Linked DNA regions of Tribolium castaneum. The protein of the gene in region 1 purifies or fractionates together with the protein of each later gene. This does not show direct contact. Links are inferred from orthologs where the notes say so. Each region holds a gene or a part of one and is shown in the gene's direction. Other genes may lie near its edges.

The links.
Region 2: the proteins of wmd (region 1) and probable ATP-dependent RNA helicase DDX20 purify together in Homo sapiens (affinity purification with mass spectrometry; 3 studies listed by BioGRID and IntAct, counting the BioPlex papers as one, with this or other methods). This does not show direct contact. The link is inferred for Tribolium castaneum from reciprocal best matches to the Homo sapiens genes STRAP and DDX20.
Region 3: the proteins of wmd (region 1) and SUZ domain-containing protein 1 purify together in Homo sapiens (co-immunoprecipitation; 3 studies listed by BioGRID and IntAct, counting the BioPlex papers as one, with this or other methods). This does not show direct contact. The link is inferred for Tribolium castaneum from reciprocal best matches to the Homo sapiens genes STRAP and SZRD1.
Region 4: the proteins of wmd (region 1) and Unr purify together in Homo sapiens (affinity purification with mass spectrometry; 3 studies listed by BioGRID and IntAct, counting the BioPlex papers as one, with this or other methods). This does not show direct contact. The link is inferred for Tribolium castaneum from reciprocal best matches to the Homo sapiens genes STRAP and CSDE1.

What each region holds. Positions count from the first base shown.
Region 1 is NC_087399.1:1,128,270-1,133,913, reverse strand, and holds wmd (serine-threonine kinase receptor-associated protein), read left to right. Parts: upstream 1-2,571; 5' UTR 2,572-2,687; coding exon 2,688-2,802; intron 2,803-2,869; coding exon 2,870-3,160; intron 3,161-3,225; coding exon 3,226-3,350; intron 3,351-3,724; coding exon 3,725-4,177; 3' UTR 4,178-4,327; downstream 4,328-5,644. Other genes in the region: ENGase (cytosolic endo-beta-N-acetylglucosaminidase), read left to right, coding at 4,852-4,861, 4,910-5,644. UniProt on the Homo sapiens protein: The SMN complex catalyzes the assembly of small nuclear ribonucleoproteins (snRNPs), the building blocks of the spliceosome, and thereby plays an important role in the splicing of cellular pre-mRNAs.
Region 2 is NC_087394.1:23,206,349-23,212,325, reverse strand, and holds the start of probable ATP-dependent RNA helicase DDX20, read left to right. Parts: upstream 1-2,366; 5' UTR 2,367-2,459; coding exon 2,460-2,646; intron 2,647-2,693; coding exon 2,694-2,867; intron 2,868-5,977. Other genes in the region: Aps (diphosphoinositol polyphosphate phosphohydrolase 2), read left to right, coding at 1,648-1,842.
Region 3 is NC_087399.1:6,522,749-6,527,660, forward strand, and holds SUZ domain-containing protein 1, read left to right. Parts: upstream 1-2,716; 5' UTR 2,717-2,780; coding exon 2,781-2,843; intron 2,844-2,968; coding exon 2,969-3,027; intron 3,028-3,074; coding exon 3,075-3,311; intron 3,312-3,356; coding exon 3,357-3,459; 3' UTR 3,460-3,788; downstream 3,789-4,912. Other genes in the region: Trp1 (translocation protein SEC62), read right to left, coding at 151-425, 482-614, 1,060-1,095; dnaJ homolog subfamily C member 28, read left to right, coding at 1,509-1,592, 1,639-1,770, 1,818-1,910, 1,955-2,698; glycoprotein-N-acetylgalactosamine 3-beta-galactosyltransferase 1, read left to right, coding at 4,904-4,912.
Region 4 is NC_087394.1:5,373,553-5,379,014, forward strand, and holds the end of Unr (cold shock domain-containing protein E1), read left to right. Parts: intron 1-172; coding exon 173-381; intron 382-439; coding exon 440-1,018; intron 1,019-3,437; coding exon 3,438-3,606; 3' UTR 3,607-4,539; downstream 4,540-5,462. UniProt on the Homo sapiens protein: RNA-binding protein involved in translationally coupled mRNA turnover.

The sequences.
Region 1 (5,644 bases):
TGACTCGGCTGTAAATCTTTATTTGTAGTTCCCCTATAGCGTTTCCGGTTTTATGTAATCCGTTTAGCTCCCCCATCAAGCTTTTGCTTTTGAGTATGTAATAACCGCTTCCTTTTTTTGCTCTTTCTTATTCCAGAGTCGTACACTTTCCCCCAAGGAAACTACTTGATGATTTCCTAACTACATATTTGCGATGGCGATTTTAGATTTTATGTTTTTTTTTTTTCATTTTTATGAAGGCAAAAGCCTTGAATATCAAAATTTTAAACAAAAAAAATTGAAAATTTTAAATATCGTTAAAAGTTGGTATAATACAGAAAATGAACCGCTGAATCCAATGGAACAAACCGCATTGCTCTACGACTTTTAGTTTTTGAATTATGAATTTTTTTGTTGAATAAAATTTTCCACTATAGGAAATGATTATCTTAATTTTTAGCAAAAAATTTTAAAATGTTAGATCTCGTAAAAAGTTGGTATAATACAGAAAATGAGCCGCTGAATCCAATGGAACAAACCGCATTGCTCTACGACTTTTAGTTTTTGGGTTATGAATTTTTGAAAAATAACTCGGCGCCTCCACCATTTTTCAAATTAAAAGTAAAATAAATTACGGCAATACTATTTGAAAAAGTGGAACTATTATGATCCTTACCCAGGCAAAATGATCCTGGGAATCGATTGGCATCGAGAAAATTGCCAAATTCCCAACAGTTTTTTAGTTATGAATTTTTTAAAATTTTACCAATTTTTGCATTTATCTGCAATTTTCTCGAAAACTATTAGTCGGAGAAAAATAGTCTTTTTCGAAAAAAATTGATAATTCAAAGAGCTTTCCAACGATAATACACTTCATGGCGTTATCTCTAATAGTTCTGAAGCTATTGCTCGAGAAATGTTCCGGGTACCCAAAACCGACAAAAACTGCGACGAAAATTGAAAAAATCAAACATCACAAAATTGAACATATGGACTTTTTGTAGACTTTTAACAACTTTAGTGGGTTGTTAAGACATATAGAAGTCCATAAAAATTTGCTGGAGTGAGTTTAAAAAATTTTTTTTTCATCTCTTTGAAGGTAAGTAGTGTTTTACTCAGGAAATTTGAGCAAAAAAAATGAAAATTTTAAATTGCGTGAAAAATTAGTATAATAAAGAAAAAAAGCCGCTGAATCCAATAGAACAAACCGCACTGCTCTACGACTTTTAGTTTTCGAGTTATGAATTTTTTTAATGAATAAAATTTTTCACTATGACAAATGGCTATCCTAAATTTAGGCAAAAATTTTTAAATTTTTAATTCTTGTGAAAAATCGATATAATATGTAAAATGAGCCGTAGAATTCAATCGAATAAACCGCAATGCTCTACGACTTTTAATTTTTTTTTATGAATTTTTTTAGTGAAAAACTTTGATCGCCTCTGTAGCCGGAACCGTTGCCCGGAGCGGCTCCGGGTTTGGTCGAAAAAATAGACAAAATTAAGCGCTATCAGATGGTTTTTTGTTCGTTGCTCTAAGTCTTACAGTTTCCGAGAAAAACGCAAAAAAAGGTTTCCGTTTTCACTTTTTTTCAATTTTCAATCGTCAATTACGGCGAAACTATTAAAGATATCGAGAAACGGAAAAATGGAGGATAACCGGAATAAAAAACTCTACAAAATGGCATAGGACTTAAGGCGATATCTCGCAAATAATTTTTCAATTTTCAAACGCCGATTACGGCCAAACTAAAAGAGCTAGAAGAAAACGGTTTGTTCGATCGTAAAGAGCACATCAAAATCTATAAGACAGAATGGGTTTCCTTTGATTTTGAGACACTTTAAAAATTGGCCGATTTTGGGGGGGGGTGTTAACTTTTTTTTTAATTTTTTTATTTTCTCATTTACGGCTAAACACTATTGTAAAAAGTGGAACTGTTTTGATCCACACCTATGCAAAATGATCCGGGGAATCAATTGGCATCGAGAAAATTGCCAAATTCCCAATAGTTTTTTAGTTATGAATTTTTTAAAATTTTACCAATTTTTGCATTTAACAGCAATTTTCTCGAAAACTATTAGTCGGAGAAGAATAATCTTTTTTGAAAAAAAAAGATAATTTAAAGAGCTTTCCAACGATAATACACTTCATGGGGTTATCTCTAATAGTTCCGGAGCTATTGCTCGAGAAATGTTCCGGGTACCCAAAACCGACAAAAACTGCAACGATAATTGAAAAAATCAAACATCAAAAAATTGAACATATGGACTTTTTGTGGACCTTTAACAACTTTAGTGGGTTGTTAAGACATGTAGAAGTCCATAAAAATTTGCTGAAGTCAGTTTAAAAAAATTTTTTTTTCATCTCTTTGAAGGTAAGTAGTGTATTATAATATAACTCAGGAAATTTGAGCAAAAAAATTGAAAATTTTAAATCTCATGAAAAGTTGGTATAATACAGAAAATGAACCGCTGAATTCAATGGAACAAACCGCATTGCTCTACGACTTTTAGTTTCCGAGTTATGAATTTTTTTGTGATTGGTAGGTAACCAATTATACACCCGCGCATGCGTCCCTTATTGCCACTTTCCCAGCTGTTGTTGACGCTGTCAAATTCAGTTCGCTTTCTGAACTCCTCGTGTTAGTGTGGTGTGTAGGTTTTTAGTATAATTTTTTTGTACCGTTTGACCTAATAAAATAGAAAACTATGGCAAATCTTCGTCAAACCCCCTTAACCTGTAGCGGCCACACTCGTCCCGTCGTCCATCTCGACTTCAGTTCGGTGACAAAATACGGCTATTTCCTAATTTCGGCATGCAAAGGTAAGTTAAACTTTACCTTCGGCGACATTTACCTTGGCCTGGATTCACCGTACGAGGCCGCTTTCAGACGGCAAACCCATGCTAAGGCAAGGGGACACCGGCGACTGGATCGGCACCTTCGAGGGCCACAAGGGGGCGGTTTGGGGCGTCGCGCTCAACAAGGACGCCACCAAGGCCGCCAGCGGCGCCGCCGACTTCACCGGCAAGGTCTGGGACGCCAACTCCGGCGAGGAACTGCACTCCTTCCAGCATAAACACATCGTCAAAAGCGTCAACTTTTCCAAAGACAGTGCCTTATTGGCGACGGGGAGCAACGAAAAAATTGTCCGAATTTTCGATCTGAATAAACCCGAAGCGAGTAAGGTGGCCTCGCATTCGCCTTGGCTCCTTTTCTGATCGGAACGATTTGATTTATTGTTTCAGAACCCGAGGAGTTTACGGGGCACACTTCCGGGATAAGACACGTGATCTTTTTCAGGAATGACACGCATCTTGTCTCGTGTGCGGACGATAAGACTTTGAGGGTTTGGGACCGGAGTTCCGGAAAGGTAACCAAATCTCGAACCACGTCAATTTTGTTCTAGACGGACGGTCGCTACTTTAAAAAATATTGACCAGATTCGAGTTAAATCTACTTCAAATTCAAACACTTAGAAAAAACGTTTGAAAAAAAAACAAAATTATGTAATTTCCGCTTTAATCAGACGATTTTTCATTCGAAAGGGATAAATGATACATGTTTCCAAATATTTACTAGGTTATTGCCGTTATAAAAATAAAAAAACAAATTTGCAAAATTGTCAACTTTGACAATGTAAATGTCACTTTGACAAATTAAATTCCGCAAGATGTCGCCCTACTACGACCGGCCGTCTAAAAACTTTCGCTCTTGATCATAATTATACTAGACAGTTTTTTGCAGGAAGTCCAGAAAATGGACTTCCCGTCGATTCCGAACAGCCTTGAGGTGTCCAGAGACGGCACCGTGCTCACAGTAACCCACTCAAATCACGTCACATTCCTCGACTCCGAATCTCTAAACAAAATTAGAGAATTTTCCGTTCCTACGACAGTCAATTCGGCTTCGCTACACCCCGACAAAACGATTTTCGTCGCCGGTGGCGATGATTTGAAAGTCTACAAATTCGATTACACAACTGGAAATGAAATCGAATCGTTCAAGGGCCACTTTGGCCCCGTCCATTGTGTCAAATTCTCGCCCGACGGTGAATTGTACGCTTCCGGGTCAGAAGACGGCACTTTAAGACTTTGGCAAACCACAATTGGCAAGACTTATGGACTTTGGAAATGCGTTGACGGGCCCCAAATCAACAACGACGCGATTACGTCACCCAAAGAAGTACCCGCGATTTAGCTGTTTGACGAATTTGTTTTCTCCTCCTTCCTCAAATCCAAGTAACTCGTAGTTCTTTCACGATTAGGTGAACAGAAGACGAAAAAGCGACGGAAAACTGATTTATTTATGTTACTATTTGTTTGAATATTTAATAAATAATCACGAAAATTGGCGAGTTTTTGTCCCAAATTCCTGACATTGAAAGCGGGTTATTTGTAAACAAACCGGTTGACCCAAATCAAGGAAAAAGCACCAAAGAATCGCAAAAAGCGAGGTTAGGTTCTGGCCTTAATCAGTCGATCAATGGGAAAACACTAGGTGATAAAACTGATAAGTACGAAGTGAAATGGCCCGATTGCTACATTCAGTGATCTTGGCTAATAAATAATAAAGAAATGTGAAAAAAAAATCCACAAAAAAAGTGAGGTTATACCTCTTGTTTTTCCCCCATTTTCCACATAATTAAAAACGGTAAGAGGCAAAAAAACCTTTATAAATTACAAGCTCCAATTTATTACCGCTATGGTACGATAAAAACTGCGTAATCACAATAAGATAAAAAGTGAGGTTATGTCATTCAAAAAAAAAAAAATAAGAATTGGGTTATGATGCTATTTCAGGGGCCCCGGATGCGGAAATAATTTTTCCCGCATTATCAGCTTCCGTTTCCCGCCGTCCTACAATTACCGATAATGAGTACTGGTAACAAGACTCATTTTTCGCCTCCAGTTGTCTCAAATCTCTTTGTAGAAAGTGACGGCCCCCCTGCCATGAAAAAACTCAAACTAAACCAATTCGAGTGTTTTCCAATCACATCATTGGACAACATCTCCGAAGTGATCGAAAACCCGCCCCAGTGGGTGAGCCGAGTCGCGCCCTTGACCGAGCGCAGCCCCACAGTAGTGCAAAACATAATTTCGGATTGTCATTGCGATGCGAAAAAATTCGGTCCACGAACGCGTCTCGATAAGAGATTTGTTCCCAAAACTTTAGTGTGCCATGACTACAAAGGTGGCTATTTGGAAGACAGGTTTTTGTCAAGTAGCAACATCGGGAATTTGTACTCGTTTTATAATTGGCAACACATCGATATTTTCGTTTACTTCAGTCACCACCTAATCACAATCCCACCTTTGTGTTGGATAAATGCCGCGCATCAAAACGGCGTGAAAATTCTTGGAACTTTGATAACAGAATTCGAGCCGGGGAAAAAAATTTGCGAGAAGATTTTCAAAGACGAGGACACGATGCGAATTTTCGCAACTTCTTTGACCCAAATTTTGAAAATTTTCCAATTCGACGGGTGGCTCCTCAACATCGAAAACTCGCTCCAAGACACCGAAATGTTGAAAAAATTCGTTGCCTACTTAGGGGTGCAAACGCACACCCAAAACCCCGACCATTTAATCATCTGGTACGACAGTATCATTGAAACGGGCGAATTGAAATGGCAAAATGAGCTCAACCCCCTTAATAAATTTTTCT
Region 2 (5,977 bases), on another chromosome or scaffold:
TTATAAGCTCTGGTATGTTAAGGAAACGTTTCAGGATATTTCTAAAAGATTTAATAAAAAAATCCATCGTCATTTTTAACGAATTTATCAACACAAAACAGTCTGTTAAAAAATGGCACTAGTCAGTACTTGAGTGTTTTCACCGTACCTTTATTTTAATTGTTGTAGAAGTTATAACTGTAACTATGGAATATTTTTTGCCATGTTGTCAGATCAATTTTTTAACTTTCTGGGTATGAAAATCACAATTTTGAAAATTAATTCATGATTATTATAAATAATTTTCTGTTTTGTTAACATGGAAGTGTAGGGGAGCTTAATCTTTTTTTGGTTCTATCACCGATTAAAAATATTTTAAGAAATTAGGAGAAAAAAACTTCCATTTTACTTCTCAATAATACTGCTTAGAATTATTGAGAGGGATTTTTTTTATTACAGTAATACCTCATTAGTTTGAAACTTTTGGAAACTGAATAATTATTATTTAGTAATTTGAAGTGATCCGTTTTTATTCTTTGCAAGTTTCAACTTCTTTTAAATTGCTTCAGAAACGCTTAGTTATTGTAGCAACGTTTTCTTTGTATACCATAAAGTTTTACAACAGGTAATGGTGTTTAAGATAAGCAACACTCACAATCAGATATTTTGACAAGGGTGACTCAAAAATATTTACGATACCGATTGGTTCGTCTCAAAGACTATAGATTGTCTCCAATAAATCACAATAAGCGTGCCTAGTTTCGTTCCCGGTTGAACTTCATCAAGATTGCAACAGAAAATGAGGACAATTACATTATTGCAATAAAATTATGGATTGTCTTTTCTTTCTATGGCGATCCTGATAATGTTAATAGGGAACGAAACTAGTCGATTGAAACACTTTTATTTGTCCTGTGCCTTTAATTGGATTAATTTTCATTATAATTATTTCAATTTTTTAATTATGTTTTATTGATATTTTATTTTTTATACTTATGTACTTATTAAAACTTCCACGTCTGTTTCTTCAAATTATAAATATAATTACTATTGTTGTTACTTGTTTATACGTATTACATAAATAAAATTTAAAAATGCACAAAAGTTCTACATACTTCAAGTATACTCAATAATCCGATTTTTTGACAGTCCAAATCTTTACGTCTGAAACCTTGGTTTTATTGACTTTGGATAAACAAGGTATTACTATATTTTTCTAATGTTTGTTGGAACGTGTGCTATAGCGTACTGAAGACTTTACGCGCCAATTTGTACATAGCCTGTATTTTTTTATAATTTGAAAACGAATTAAACTTTAATAATTGGGAACTAAACTGATTTGAATTTATTTGTCATTATACTTTGCATGGATAATATGGTTAAATTAATTAGAACTATTTTTTTCATTTTTTATCCACTTTCAAATTCCAACAAAAAACACTTTAAACCACGCAAAACCCCACAATTAAAGTCAAAGCTAGTATTTATCACCACATACTCTCCCTAATGTAAGAAATTGACAATGTTCACTCAAAATTGCAAAAAATTCATTAAATGGGGGATTACGATAATTTCGGTACTGTTTCGAGAGAGCGTGTAGTAGTTAATTTAATTTTATTTTTTTAGTTTAAGAAAGTGTCCGATTCTACTGAACGTTCTTTTTTTCAGAATTTAGAACACAAAGACAGGACTGAAGTGTATGTCATGACAGTAACTGAAGAATTAGACGAATGGGAAGACTCAAAGACCATAGGAAGGAAGCGACAGTGGTTCACGATAGAAGAGGCTCTAGAACAGCTCGCGCTGCATAAACCGGTGCAACGCAATTACCTCCAACAGTTACGACGCTCGAAACTAACATGAGATTTGTTTTATTATTAAAAACACTGTTACTGTCAAACATGTGCTTGAGGTTTTATGGGTTTATTTATTAAAGAAAATTCGACTATATGTAAGATATTGAATTCGATTTTTTCGTAGTTTTCTGCAACAATAATGCTCTCGGTTTTAGTGAGGTATTGTTCTTTTTACGCCGTTCTGTTTACAAAATTCATTTAAATTTAAGACTATTATAGTACTTTCTTATTGTTTTGTTGCCTTTTGTTATAACCTGAATATCAGAACAATAAAATGTTACTTAATACCGACTCATTTTAGTCATTTCGAAACTGGCGCCATCATTTCGATCCCAACACCACGTCGGCATTACAGGAATCATCTTCAACAAATCAGTCTTTATCTGTTTCAGAGACGTTTTTTACCAATTTTAAATACAAAATGATGAATTCTAGCAACTAAAAGTAGCACAATTATTTACATAACAAAGCTTGATAGTTTTACTAAAAATTAAAATATTTTAGTACGTGTACGGTTACAGATTTCTGTAACACATCAAACGATCACGAAACGTCAAATTTTTGTTTTTTGAGGTTATAAAATTATGTTAGTTTTATGGTTAGACAGTTTTAATTTATTTAATAATGCAGCCAACCATTGCTCACGATTTAGATGCAAAAGAGCGCACAAAAGACGTAATTCTCGACGAAAACATCAGTTTTGCGTCATTACTACTCCCCGACGACATAAAACAGGGGCTCTCGGTTAGTGGTTTCAAAAAACCGTCTCCAATTCAGTTCAAAGCCATTCCCCTAGGACGATGCGGTTTTGGTACGTTTGTCACTTTTGTCAGGACTAGAACTAATCGAAAATTGTAGATTTAATTGTGAAGTCCAAGTCCGGGACCGGCAAAACTTTAGTGTTCTCAACAATTGCTCTTGAGACTGTTAATACGGCCAAAGACCATTTACAAGTCTTAATTTTGGTCCCGACGCGGGAAATAGCTGTGCAAATTGAAGACGTTCTGCGCAGCGTGGGCTGTCACGTAAATGGTTTTTATTTTTTTTTTTTGTAAAAGAACATACAATCAAACAAAATGAAAATGATGCGTCCATAAACGAACGTTTACGGTGCCACACCAAATTCTTGACCACAACCAACCCCTGTAATAAATCATTAGAGATCGTCAACTAGTTTTGAATGTTGTTCTACATTTTGAAATGTTGAAGAATTCCTTGTTGTAAATGGTTGGCTAGGACAAACATGAAATAATAGTTACTTCCTCAAAGTACGAAAACACATTATTTGAACACGAGTGAGGTGTAACGCTACGCTTCTCCTCCTCTTTCTGCTCCTCTTCGATCGGTAAAATCTCCTTACCGTTCTTGAAACTTAAATAACTATAATACTTATGCGACTAAAATTTGCCGAATAACAAACGTGATAAAACACGGATTCTTATTTCATTTATATTAAATTATTATCATTGCGAATTAATGAACAGAGTTGAAGGTTAATTAAATTTTTACTATATTTGGGGAGTGCTGTTTAATATGTTTTCGTAAACTAAAAGGTTTTGTTGCAAAAATAAAATTACGTGACAATTAAAAAACTGTTTTATTTCACTATCTTTTGCGGTGTAATCGGTGTAGTATTTTTCATTAAAGACTTTGACCGCGAAATGATCACTGCTCAAAAATATTTTAAATTAAAATAATAATTATTTTTAAAATTTCATTGTTACAAACTGTAACTAAAAATTTTATTGTCTTTATACATAGTTTATTTCTTAACGATATAAAACTTACTGAATCGTTGTGCATAAAACAAGATAAAACAAAAATGTAGTAATCTAATAAAATTGTATTTTAAATTTTACAGGTAAAGACGTCTGTCTATACTTTTCATCGTTTCAATTATTAATTGCACAATCGGTTTTATTAACATTTTTGTTTATTAAATGTTTCAAAAACTTGGTATGACTGGAATAAAAGTAATCAATGGACGTTAGGGTAATTCATTTATGGAAATACCCTGATTAAAATTTTGACCATTTAGGTCCAAATAAGGTTCATTAGAAAAATTTAAGAATACCTAACACCATAGGAGATAAGGTGAGACCAAAATTTTCCAATTTTTCTTAAAATCGATAAACATTAATTTATTAATTTTTTTTAAAACAAACGAAAAATAAAAAAAATCAAGTTCGTTACATCAGGTTTTAAGAGGTCAAAAAAAAATTGTATTACTTAGTTAATGCCAAATAAGTTTGTGTCGATTTAAAAAACATTTTAATTTTAATTCGAATTAACTTTACCTTTTTGTCATTGAATTTTAAATGGCAACTTGATGTCGGACTTTAAGCCACTTATTTGCTTCGAGATTTTCGAACTCAATCGTGTCTTAATTATAACTAAGTATTATTTACTACAATTTTTTTATTTCCGAAAATAATTTGTTTTTTTAAGTGAACCACAAAACATCCAACTAATTTATTTATTTTTAGTGACAAAACATGGCAACGAATCTGAAAATTTTTTTAGTTCTCATTTGTTTTTTAAGAAAATTAATAAATGTTTATCAGTTGTAAGTTCATTGAACCACTAGTTTACGATCTCTAATAATTTATGGTAGGGGTTGGTTGGTTGGTTGTGGTCAAGGGATCGGGGGTGGTTATGGACGCGTTTTATTTTTATTTTGTTCGACTATACAGGGTGCTGCATTTTGGATGTCCAAATAGGATCTTCGAAACTATAAGAGGTTTAGACTAAAACGAGTGACACATTCTCAGGTCCAATTTTTGAGAAATAATTTTGGTCAAAACCGCTTTCCGCGGTTGTTTTCGACTTATAAATAAAAGTTGCCATTTTAGCAAAATCCTAAAAACCCCATATCTTTTTTATTATAAAAGATACACATTTAAGACACACATTATGCAGAGAATATAACAATGTTATCAGCGTTTTTTTTAATTATTTGTTTAACTGTAACAACATAAAATTGAATTTTTTAAATAGGAATCATAGTTGGCTATGACATTTTCGAAAAAATTTTTTTTTCTGAACTGAAAACAATATAAATACAGTTTGATATTTCTATATACTTTTAATAAAAAACATATTGAAAGCAGTTGGCCATGGAAAAATTATTTCACATATAAGCTGTGAATAATCTAGAAATTTTGTGAACGGTTATTAAAGTAAAAAATTTGAAATTATCAAAATAAGTTATGTTAAAGTTATTTTCAATAGAACAAATATACGATCGTCGCAGATTTTAATTACATAAAAAATGTTCAGAAAACTGAAAACGATGTGTCACTACTATTTAATAACACTTTCTTATGATTTAGTGAAGTGCAATGGCGATGACGTTGATAATGTTATGTATTTTTTACTACAAAAGAGTAAAATATTTTGTAAAATAAATATTGACAGGCAATACGATTAATAAGATTTTTCTTTTTTCCACATTTCATGTTTAATTAAGAAATAGAATGACAATTTTAGCTTGCCATTTTAAATCTAAAAACAAATAATTTTTCTTAATCGCAAAAATTTGTTCTAATAATAATTTATTATGCTGTTTTTGAATTAATTAGTGTTTAAAAAATCATTAAATTATAAATACTTGTTGGGTAATATATTTTTTCATAGTTTTTATTGAAAATCGAAATTTTTTTCATGGCCTACCATAAAGAAAAAGCGAAATGTTATGTTTTCCTTAATATTTAAAAATAATGTATTACATAAATAGATATATCAAATCAGAACAAAATAAGCTTTTAAAAAATACTGCAGCCGCCTATGATTCTTATTTAAAAAAAAATAAAACTTTTTGTTATTACAGTTGAACGAAATATAAAAAAAATCGCTGACAACATTATTAAATTCTCTCTCTGTAAAACGTGACTTTGTTATAATAATATGTGAAGTCTTTGTTTTAAATAAGTATCTTTTATAATAAGGAAGATATGAATGTTTTAATATTCCACTAAAATGACAACTTTTTCGAAAGTCGAAAATAAAAGACTATAACAGGATGCGATTTTGGGTAAAATAATTCTCTCAAAAAACGGAGCCGCGAATGTGACTCGTTTTTCTTTAAATCTTTTACTTTCGGAGTTCTCCTAGTCGGACATCCAAAATGCAGCACCCTGTAT
Region 3 (4,912 bases), about 5.4 Mb from region 1:
ATTCAGACGACGGTTATGCCATACAAAAAATCAAAATCCCACAACCAAATTAAAAAATTTCAACGTTGTGCCTTGCAAAATTGTCAATATTGCCAAATTGAGAAAACAAAAACGTTCAAAATAATAAAAAAATTATAACAATGCACTAACTTGTTGTTCCTTATCTTTTCCTTCAACGACACTGCTCTCGGCATCTGTCCCTTTTTCCTTTTCTTTCGACTTTTCCTTCTCCTCCGATTCATTCTTCTTCTCCTTCTTCTTGCCTTTCAGCTCTTGTTCCGAAACTGGCACTTTTCTCGCCCTGTGGTAGAACTTGTGTTCAAGCATCAAGTGAAGATAATCAACGATATCTTCGCGAGTTTTGAACAGGGGCTCGTCGCCTTGGGCCCACTTTGACTCCAAGAGCGCATCAACGGCTCTTTTAGCTATAATTTGCCCAACTTAGCTCAACTTTCCCCCCAAACAAACTATGATAAATTACCAGTGAAATACTCAACATTGTGGTTAAGAAACTTAGTTTTCTTAATTGGAACATTTTTCCGCATCCATTTGGCGATGACAAACTCCTCTTTCGCCGGTTTATCAGCAACTTCTTCGCCGGGAGCCACATACTCCTACAAAACGTCAAAATCAACTGCTGCCAACTCCAAATCGCCAAAACAAAACGTCACTCAGTTAACACGTAAAAACCTTCTTTAATTCGAAAAGAACAGGATTTTATGGGGAAAAAGCGGCGATTACCGCACGACTGACTCAGGTCTGTGAATTTCTTAAAGTTACGAACGATTCGTCGACGCGTCACTTGTGAAAACGGGTTTTTCGAATTGTGACGTCGGGGGAAATTTCCGCATTGTTCTTCACGAGATCAGGCAATAAAAACGGGAAAATAGCGCAACGTCACCTAATTGCACGGAACAACACGACCGAAAGCCCCCTTATGACAACTAACCAATAAAACACCAGCCCGGCACTTTACCAATTAACTCATCACTGGACGCGGGTTATGGGCGACAATAAGGGGGAAACAACGGAATTTGCGCGAAAACAAGTCAAATTTACCTCTTTACGTTTCTTTCCTTTCTTCTTCTCCGCCATTTTGACGATTTTGACAGGCTACGTTGTTGACGTCAGTGCTTCTAAAAATTTTACAGTTAAGCGGCTTACGTGGACTAATTATGCGATCGGGACGAACTTCTCGCTCGATTTGACGACGAAATAGCGCAATTTGCGAGATTAAACACTGATTTGTGTTTATTTCCCCCGAAATTGCACCACTAAGCACAATTAGGAATTGTGGTACCACTGGTTCCGACATACCCGGTGTTTGCGCCAATTTTCAAAAACTTTTTTTAATAAAAGGCCCTAATTATTTTCACTGGTTGGTTACATTTTAATTTTTAACCCATGTTTTTATTAAACATTCTTAACGCCGGGCTTGAAATTACAATTACATTGATCTGTTTTTTGTCATATCCAGTATTTGCATAAATTTTGGAAAATTTTACAGAATGGCCCTTCTACGAATTGAACGACCCACAATCACCGTCTTCTACACGAATTACAGCAGTTTTGCCAAATTATTAGAATACAAGGTAGAGCAATGTTTTTTTGCTACGTTTTTTGAACTTTTTTCTTCAGAAATGTTTCAAAATTTTGGGTATTTCCGAAAACAGTGAGCAGGAACAAATCCGAGCCGCTTACTTGAACCTTGTCAAGCGGTACCACCCCGATAGTGGTACCAAAGAAGCTGATGCGGAGAAATTTTCACAAGTAAAATTTTTGACCCATTTTTTTATTTTTCTGAGCCATTTTTTCAGATTGATAAGGCGTTTCGCGTCCTAACTGATAAGAAATCGCGCGAGCGGTGGCAAGTCGATGACGAAATTCAAGTGCAAGAGCAGGACATTAAAGTATGACTGATTTAAACGATTTTTTTTTTGATTGTTAGTTTTAGCACACAGCCCCCCAACACCGGCAATACTTGAGTTACGACGGTGTCGGGGTTGGAAATCCCTTTCAGAGGCAAAAACAGTACACTAGAATCCGGGCCCAACATGCAGCTGACAACGTTTTGAAGCACCGAATGTCCAAAGTTTCCGCCGAGGAAGGGGCTCTCCTGGCCAAGGCCCCCTTGAAGCACAACATTAAGACCAAATATGGACTAGAGCGTCTCGTTGAGGACTTGATTCAGGAATCGATGTCTCGGGGCGAATTTAGCAATTTATCCGGCTCTGGAAAACCTCTTCCAAGTCACCAAAACCGCAACCCTTACGTTGACTTTGTGACCCATAAACTAAACGAGGTTTTAATAGATAACGGGTTCACACCTGAATGGATTACGCTACAGAAGGAAATAAGGGAAGAAATTCAAGAATTGAGGAATTTTTTACGAGAAAAGCGCTCGTATTTGGGCCCTTGTCCCCTAAGTGGTAAAGACAGTGACGATTGGGCTAGAATTGTACAAAACCGTAGAAATACAGTCGAATTGATTAATAAAAAAATTGATAAGTTTAATTTGGTCGTCCCAATTTTGAACAAGCAGATGATTCAGATTAGTTTAGCGAAGGAAGCCGAGAGAATTCTAGCAAATGGGCAACACAGCGTCAAGCTAAAAGACTTGCCGCAGAACACGGACGAAAGTGGCCCCCCTGTGACCGAGAACATCTTCGGAATAATCGATTCTTTATTCAAAAAATAGTCTTAATAAATTTGAATTTCAAGGTCGTGTTAGTGACTTTGGTCCCAAACCCCAAATCCCCAAATCTGACAAGACCAAAAACATGGCTTCCAAGCAACAAGAAGTGGAGGTATTAGAAAGTTGGGAAGAAATCGAAGAGACTGATGTAATAACCCCCACATTTGCACCCATTTTTCCCCCAAAACCGCCCCCAGCCCCCACTAGAGCCCCTTTTGCCTTTTGCACCCCCATGCCTAATTGAGGTTATCCCCACTAACCGTGTGATTTCAGGTGTTAGACCAGAAGTTTAAGTCAATTATTCCGCCGAGCAAGTCCTTGGAGCCCAAAAGGTGACACCGCGGTCTGGGGATGCCCCGAATATATGTTTCTGTTGCAGTAACGGGCTTAGTTCGGTGCCGATTAAAATTTTACTGACGGGGGACGACGCCTTAAGGACCCAGTACGTGCCTCCGGAACCCACAGTGAAAATCCTGAAGCGGCCCTCGAAGGAGCCGCAGAACACCAACGACTCGAAAGTATTCCAGCCGAAAAAGACGCTGCAGCAGAGGAAGCAGGAGTATGCAGAGGCCAGACTTAGGATTTTAGGAGAGACTGAAAAAACTGAAGAGGAGAAGTACGGGTGGGTTGTGGCCGATTTTTGCTCATTTTGTGGTTTCAGGATTAGTATAGTGGCGTGCAAGGCGCGCTCAAGTGACTTAGATAATGTAATTCGGTTGCCAAAAGGACCAGACGGGAGCAAAGGGTTCAACATACGTAGATAGTACAGTGTGCATTTTTACGTTTATTTAAATCACATATCATCAACCAACCCAAGTGATATAACTTGATATGTGGATTTAAGCACAAAATGCCTTGCAAGTCTCAGATTTTTTTCAAACACAAACATTGCTCTATTCAGTGGTTTTGTGCTGGATGTCGTACCATGACGCAGATTTGCATCCCTTTTTTATGTGTAAATATTATTGTAAGATAATTTTATTATAATCAAACCACGTCAGAGTTGCAGTTAATTTTGCTCATGTATATTAGTAACGTTAAGTTATATTTATTGTGGTTGTGCAATTCTTAAATATATTACGTAATATTTTCAGTAACACACTGATCTACAACCCCAAATCACCAACCCTTGAACTTCTTTAAGTTTTAAACTAATAATTTTGCATGAATTTTCACACTTGAGTATTGAAAAAATACAAAAATCAGGCGAAATTAATGAACATTAAATTTTTATTTAAAATTTAATTTTTACAATAAGTATGTTGGGAGTGCTGTTCAATATGCTTTCTTTAAGTCAAAGGTTTTGTTGTAAAATAATTGAAATAAAAGAATTCTGGTAATTAATAATTAATTATGACATGGTTGAGTTCGAAAATCTCAAAGCAAAGAAGTGGCTTAAAGCATTGAATAAGGTACCTTATTTAATGCTTAAAGTTAAAAGTTTTTATTTCCAAAAAACAGTTCTAATTGAAAATCCAATACTTTTTGCAAAAAATGCAAAATATTGCGGTTTTTAAGAATATTTAAAAATTATATATTACATAAGTAGACATAAATAAAAAACCAGCTTCAAAAATTTCACGGCCGCCTACGATTTTCATTAAGAAAAATAAAAAATACAACTTAAAATTATTGCAGCTAAACAAACAGTAAAAAAATATTCATATTGTTACAATTTTTGTAAAAAAGTGTCTTGTACTGTCTTTGATTCAAACGTGTAACTTTGATAATAAGGAAGATATAATTTTTTTTAATTTCGCCAAAATGTAAACTTCTATAAGATTGGTCCAAACCAACCAATATACCAATAAAAAATTCTTAAACATTTCAAAAAACGACAACCATATGTGGAACGGGTCATTTTCTTTTTGAGTGGCTGTACCTTTGCCTCACGATTGTTCCAAGTTATTTATTTGAAATAGCCTAGTTTTGCCCAATTTTCACATTTAAATTTTAAAATAAATATCAAGATCAGGCGAAACTGTTCGAATTCAAGGCAATAGACTTGTAAAATGAGTAAAAAGTAAACACAGAAGTGGGTTGGTGCCCCTGCGCAGTGTCAAAATGGTGGGACGCGAAGTTGGATGTGTTTATGATTTCTTTTGTGATAAACAATAATTTGTATTAAATCCACGGATTAAATCGAATTAAATTAACTCAAAATGCAAAACAACATGTTCCTGACGTGATTCCTACAACGGTCTCATTATGAGTTAC
Region 4 (5,462 bases), on another chromosome or scaffold:
ATTTTTCAAACGTTTCGAAATTTTTTAGTGGGTTTTTCGAAATCGAACGAAATGTGCAAAAAATAATTCATTTTAGTTCACATTTTATTAATTGAGTATTCTGTTCATCCCAAATTTTTCGAATAAAATGAAATAAAAAAAAACAATCAAAGTGGAATTTCGTTTGTTTTAGGTCGAATTTAACGTAAATCAGGTGAAGAGAAACAAAGAATTAATAGCAGTTGACATTCAAGTGGTGCAACCCGCTACACAAACCAACGGAATTAAACATAGAACTAGCAACAATTGTCAAATATACCAAGGTTTCATAGCAGCGTTGAAAGACGGTTTTGGATTCATCGAAACTACTCAACATGATAAAGAAGTCTTTTTCCATTTTAGGTGAGCTTTTAGATTCCCATTGTAGCTTTTGATAATAATTGTATGTATTTTTTCGTAGTAATTTCGAAGGCGAGCCCAACAGTCTTGAACTGGGCCAAGAAGTTGAATACAATTTGGGTAGTCGCGGCAATTCGGGCACGTGTTCTTCAGCCGAAAACGTTAAAATTATTCCGAAAGGTACGATAAATCTACCGCCTGTCATTGGCGATGTTTTGGACGGAACAGTAGTCCGTCCTTTACGTTCGGTAAATCCCGATCAAACGGAATACTCCGGACTTATTCGAATAAAAACGGAAGATCCCGAAGAGAAAGCACTGGAATATGAGTTTGGAATAATGGGACTTGTCAATAAACGCGAATTGTTACAAGTGGGTGACCATGTACAATTACAAGTGGATTCAACAGGCAGGGCTGCCAACATTGTTGCTGTACGAAAGAAACTACGAGCAACGGTAGATGCAATCAAAGGTCATTTCGGTTTTTTGGCTTATGAAGTGGAAGAGGGCAAAAAGTTGTTCTTCCACATGACGGAAGTTAAGGATAATGTTAATTTACAAGTTGGCGATACTGTCGAGTTTGTGCTTGTGACCAATCATAGGAGTGGAAAGTCGTCGGCTTGTAGTGTGGTGAAAGTCAGGTGAGTTTTAATTTTTTGGGTAATTATTAATTAAATTGTAATACGTACGTTGGAGAGCAAAATATCGTTATTTATTTTTTTATTTGGAATTATACAAAAAACAGTGAAATTGAACTTAATTTGGTAAATTCTTGGTTCACTTGTAACCAAATTTTGTTTTTGTGTTAATTTTTGATGGAGTTGAGTGTGACTGAAAACGATAGCATTATTTTTGATGTATTCTGTAATTTTTTGATTTAATTTTGACAAAATTATGCGAAAAAACCCGTTTCTGCGTGAAAGGGCAAATTATTATAAAATTGTCAAAAAATGTCAAAAATTGTGCTGCTGGCCGTAAAATGTACTCGAAAAAGTAACAGTTAACAGTTTGCCAATTTCTATTCAATTTAGCATTATTTATCAAAATGCTAAAAAAATGGTGTTTTTTTTACCAAAAACAATCTTGGTACTTTTTTTCTTTCGCTTAACAATTACGTTTCTGGTTGTGAAATGTTTTTAAAATGCCTGTTCCGGCCATTTTCCGGCTTTAGTTTTCAGAAAGATTACGAAAATTTTGCTAAATTATTGAATGTGTCTTATGTGTCAGTTACAGCATCATTATTAACCACTTCTGCGATTTTTTGGTCTTGATTTTGCCAAAATTTTGGAAAATTGTTGCGTCTATGGATAAAAAAAAACCGCTTATACAACGTAAACAAATGGCAAAATTATCTTTTTTTAACTGAAAAAAATAATAAAAGTAAATTTTCCAGTTTATTTTTGACAAAATGACACTCAAAAAAGCACAAAAATGCAGCTACTTTACGACGTAATTTTGATGAGTTTTTATGAAATTTATGCGTTTCTGGGAAAAATTGGAAATAATGTCGTTTTCGAACTAAAAAACTAAAAGCAATGCGTTTTTAGTCAAAAAATGTTCTTAAAGAATTTATAATGTTCGAAGAATCTATAGTTTCATTGTGCATTTTGCACATTAATTTGCAAATTTTTGACTTAGTTTGGTGTTTTTCCTGTCCAATTTTGCAAAATTATCGACTTTCTAGAATTAATTTGTTTTGAAATGCTTAGAAAAGGCGAAAGTTACACTATTTGAGGCTTGATTTTGGTTTATTTTTGAGAAATTTCGCGTAATAACCACATTTCTGAGTGATTAGCTTTCCAATAAAACACAAAAACTACGAAATAATGCCATGTTTGAGCTCTTCTTCAGTACAATTTTGTGGAAATATTTTGTACTTAAAATTTGTTTGAATACTCAAAAACTACAAAAACAGTGTTTCATTTTTGAACTATTTTTTTTTGTGGTTTTGTTTGTAAAAAATTTCGCAATGTAATTACGTTTCTGGCACCAAACTGTAATTTTCGGCACAATTTAGTGATTTTTTCCCCAATTTTGCGAAATCCATCAAGTTTTTGTCCTAGTGCCTTAAAAATTGGAAAATTGCGAGATTATATTACTTTAAGCCTGATCTACTAATTTTCCGGTTTACTTTTGACAAAATTTTATGAAATAATTGCGTTTCTGGTTGTCATTGTTGACTACATTTTGTAATTTTTAAATTCTTATTTTGCAAAATCTTGCCTAAATGTTTTTTTTTAAGAAATTTGTGGCTGTAAAATGTGTTAAAATCGATGGAATTTTTAAAAAATCTACAATATTGTAATTTTCCACTCAATTTAGTGATTTTTTTGGTCATTTTGACGCAATATAGCGAGTTTGTTTGTAACTTAAAACTGCCTTAAAGCACTCGAAAAAGGCCTAATTAAACCATTTCTTAGTTTACGTTTGATAATTTTGAGCTTACGAGAAAATGGTTTAAAATATTTTTTTAGCCTAACATCTTTAGGCGATTGGATAAGGCATAAATAACAATTTTGGTCCAATTTAACGTTTTTTGAGTAATTTTTGACACAGATTTGCGAAATTTTTTGTGTTAGATGCTTGAAAATTTCGACCAATACGGTGGTTTTCCGATATAATTTTGACGAAACTTTCCAAAAAACGTGCTCTTTATCTCAAAAACGTACAAAATGGCTTCGTGAGTTTCTTAGCTTAATTTTTGAAAAAAATCGCCAAATAATTACGTTTCTGGCTGTAAAATTTTGTTAAATTTTTTGAAAAACACATACAAATTTGCGACTTAGATTTTTGTTCGGTTTAGCGAGTTTAGAGCTTTATTTTTAATTACAATATTTTCCGGTTTATTTTTGAGAAATTGACGAAATTGCGTTTCTAACAGAACGGGTTTAATACGCCAGTGAAGCTAAATTAATATTAGTTTTGAAATTTTTGGTTCTAGTTCTTGCTGAGAATGTCAGAAAATGCAAAAATCTGCTGTTTTCGCAAAAATATGTTTCATTTTTTTTCTGTTAATAATTTGTTATGGATTTTGACGGTAGTTTTTTGTTTTTGTTTCAGCGATGTGCAAGCGCGTCCAGAGCGGTTAATCAGCCGTCTGCGTACCGTGTCTGTGGACGATGCGGGCCCCAAATTGACGGTTTTGCGTCAACCGAAAGGCCCCGATGGCTCCAAAGGTTTCTCATCCGAGGCACGTATCGTACGTCTGCCAGGAATCGTCGTCGAATAGCAAGTGGTTAAGTCATTCTCATTCATGTCATACTACCGTAGCAACTAACTTACTCTTGTCTTAGCAGTGGAGTTGGCTAAAATGTCTATTACGTATGGTTATTAAATTATTGACAAATTGCAAAATTGTTATGGTAAACTAGGGCAAGGAAAACCTTTTCGGTTGTATTACACACCAATATTAGTCGTAGCTATGTTGAATTGAACAAAGTCGTTCGCAGTTTTACTGTGCTTAAAACACTGCTTACAAACCAAAAAAAAATTAAAAAAAAAGTTGATAATCCATTGACAAATATGAATACAATGAATTTATTATTAGGATACAGAGTTAAGGTATTAGATTATGATCTAGAGAAGACTGCATCGATAAGTAAACTCTACATTATAAGACCTTTTGTAACTTTTATTTAGACTCCATTTAGGTGTAATGTTAGTTTGCAGTCTCTGCAGTACCCGCAACATCCCGTATTTGTAATGGATCTACATAGTTGGTGTGTCTCTTCTCGCTTTTCTTCTGTGATAATCACAAGCCTCGTTATTTACTTATTTACCAAAGTAGTTTCCTCTTGATTATAGTGCCTAAATTTTGCGCAATTTTTTTCAGTTGTTTTTTTATTTTTTAAACACTTGAATGTGACTTTTTTTTTACAAATGTTGATGTGGGTACTGTGATGCAGTTTTTCAAATTAACTACAATATTAAATGTGGATTATCTTTCTATTTGTAAATTATTGTTTTAATTTCAAAGGAAATATACTAAGTAATACTATTAAGACAACGCTTTTTATTAGGCACAAATCCTTGCAATTAATTGCACCACTTGCCATTTTTGCAAAAGGCGTAAAAACCCTCTCTTCTTTCTATACGAATCAATTAGGAGATGATTTCATAAATCGTTTCGCTATTTTCCTTAAAACAAAGTTTTTACAACTTTTTCGGTGTTTTATTAGTAACCTTTTTATTTCCTTATTTGATCTACTAAAAAAACGTTAAACGCTCTTTGTAATTATTGTTATAATTTCTTCATTAAAAGGCTTTGTCCTTCGGTGCCTTCAATTTTTTAAATATTGTTCTTTAGTGTTCATACATATTTGTAAGCTTCCCTAACTTTTTCAAAGTTGTATTTTTTTCTTAAAACATCGAGAAATATGAAAATTTAACTAATTAGTATTTACACCACAGTCCATTTTTATCATTTTTTGATAATCATTGATAGTTTTAGGTTCACACTTTGAGAGGAAGAAAACAGTCCATCAAATTAAATTTCATAATTTTTTTTTAACAAAATAGTGCCTCAAAAGAACATGTAACAGACCGAATAATTACGGTCTCTCCACGTTTTTCGCTTTTCATCTTGAATGCTTTTTGTCCTTATATTGTACATTACACAATGTACGCAAGTATTGAGAGTTCTAATAATTAATTAGTAACAGATTGAGAAAACAATTTTTTTAACAAGTAAATGAAAATTATTGGTTAAATAATTAACTGACGATTGATTTATCGTTGGTGAAACCAACCCATGAACATTCTTTCATATATTTTTTTGTATTTTTGAAAAGCCTTTTAAAAAGTATGGAACGGAACCCAAATTTGAATTTTTTTTTAATCTTTCTGGAGAAAATTTTAATCGTCAGTATTTCTCAGCCTATAGATTATAAGTATAAGACTGCATTTATGAATTTTTTCCAAACAATTAGTGCACTAGTTCAAGTTAAATTTTTAATTGATGTTTCACTTGACCCAAAAATGACTTATTTAAACAATTCTTACGAACGATTTGCTTTCTTGCTTTCTCTACCTATTATTTAACTTGAAAATACATTTTTTTTTAATAATATAAGGTGTATTTAAGGG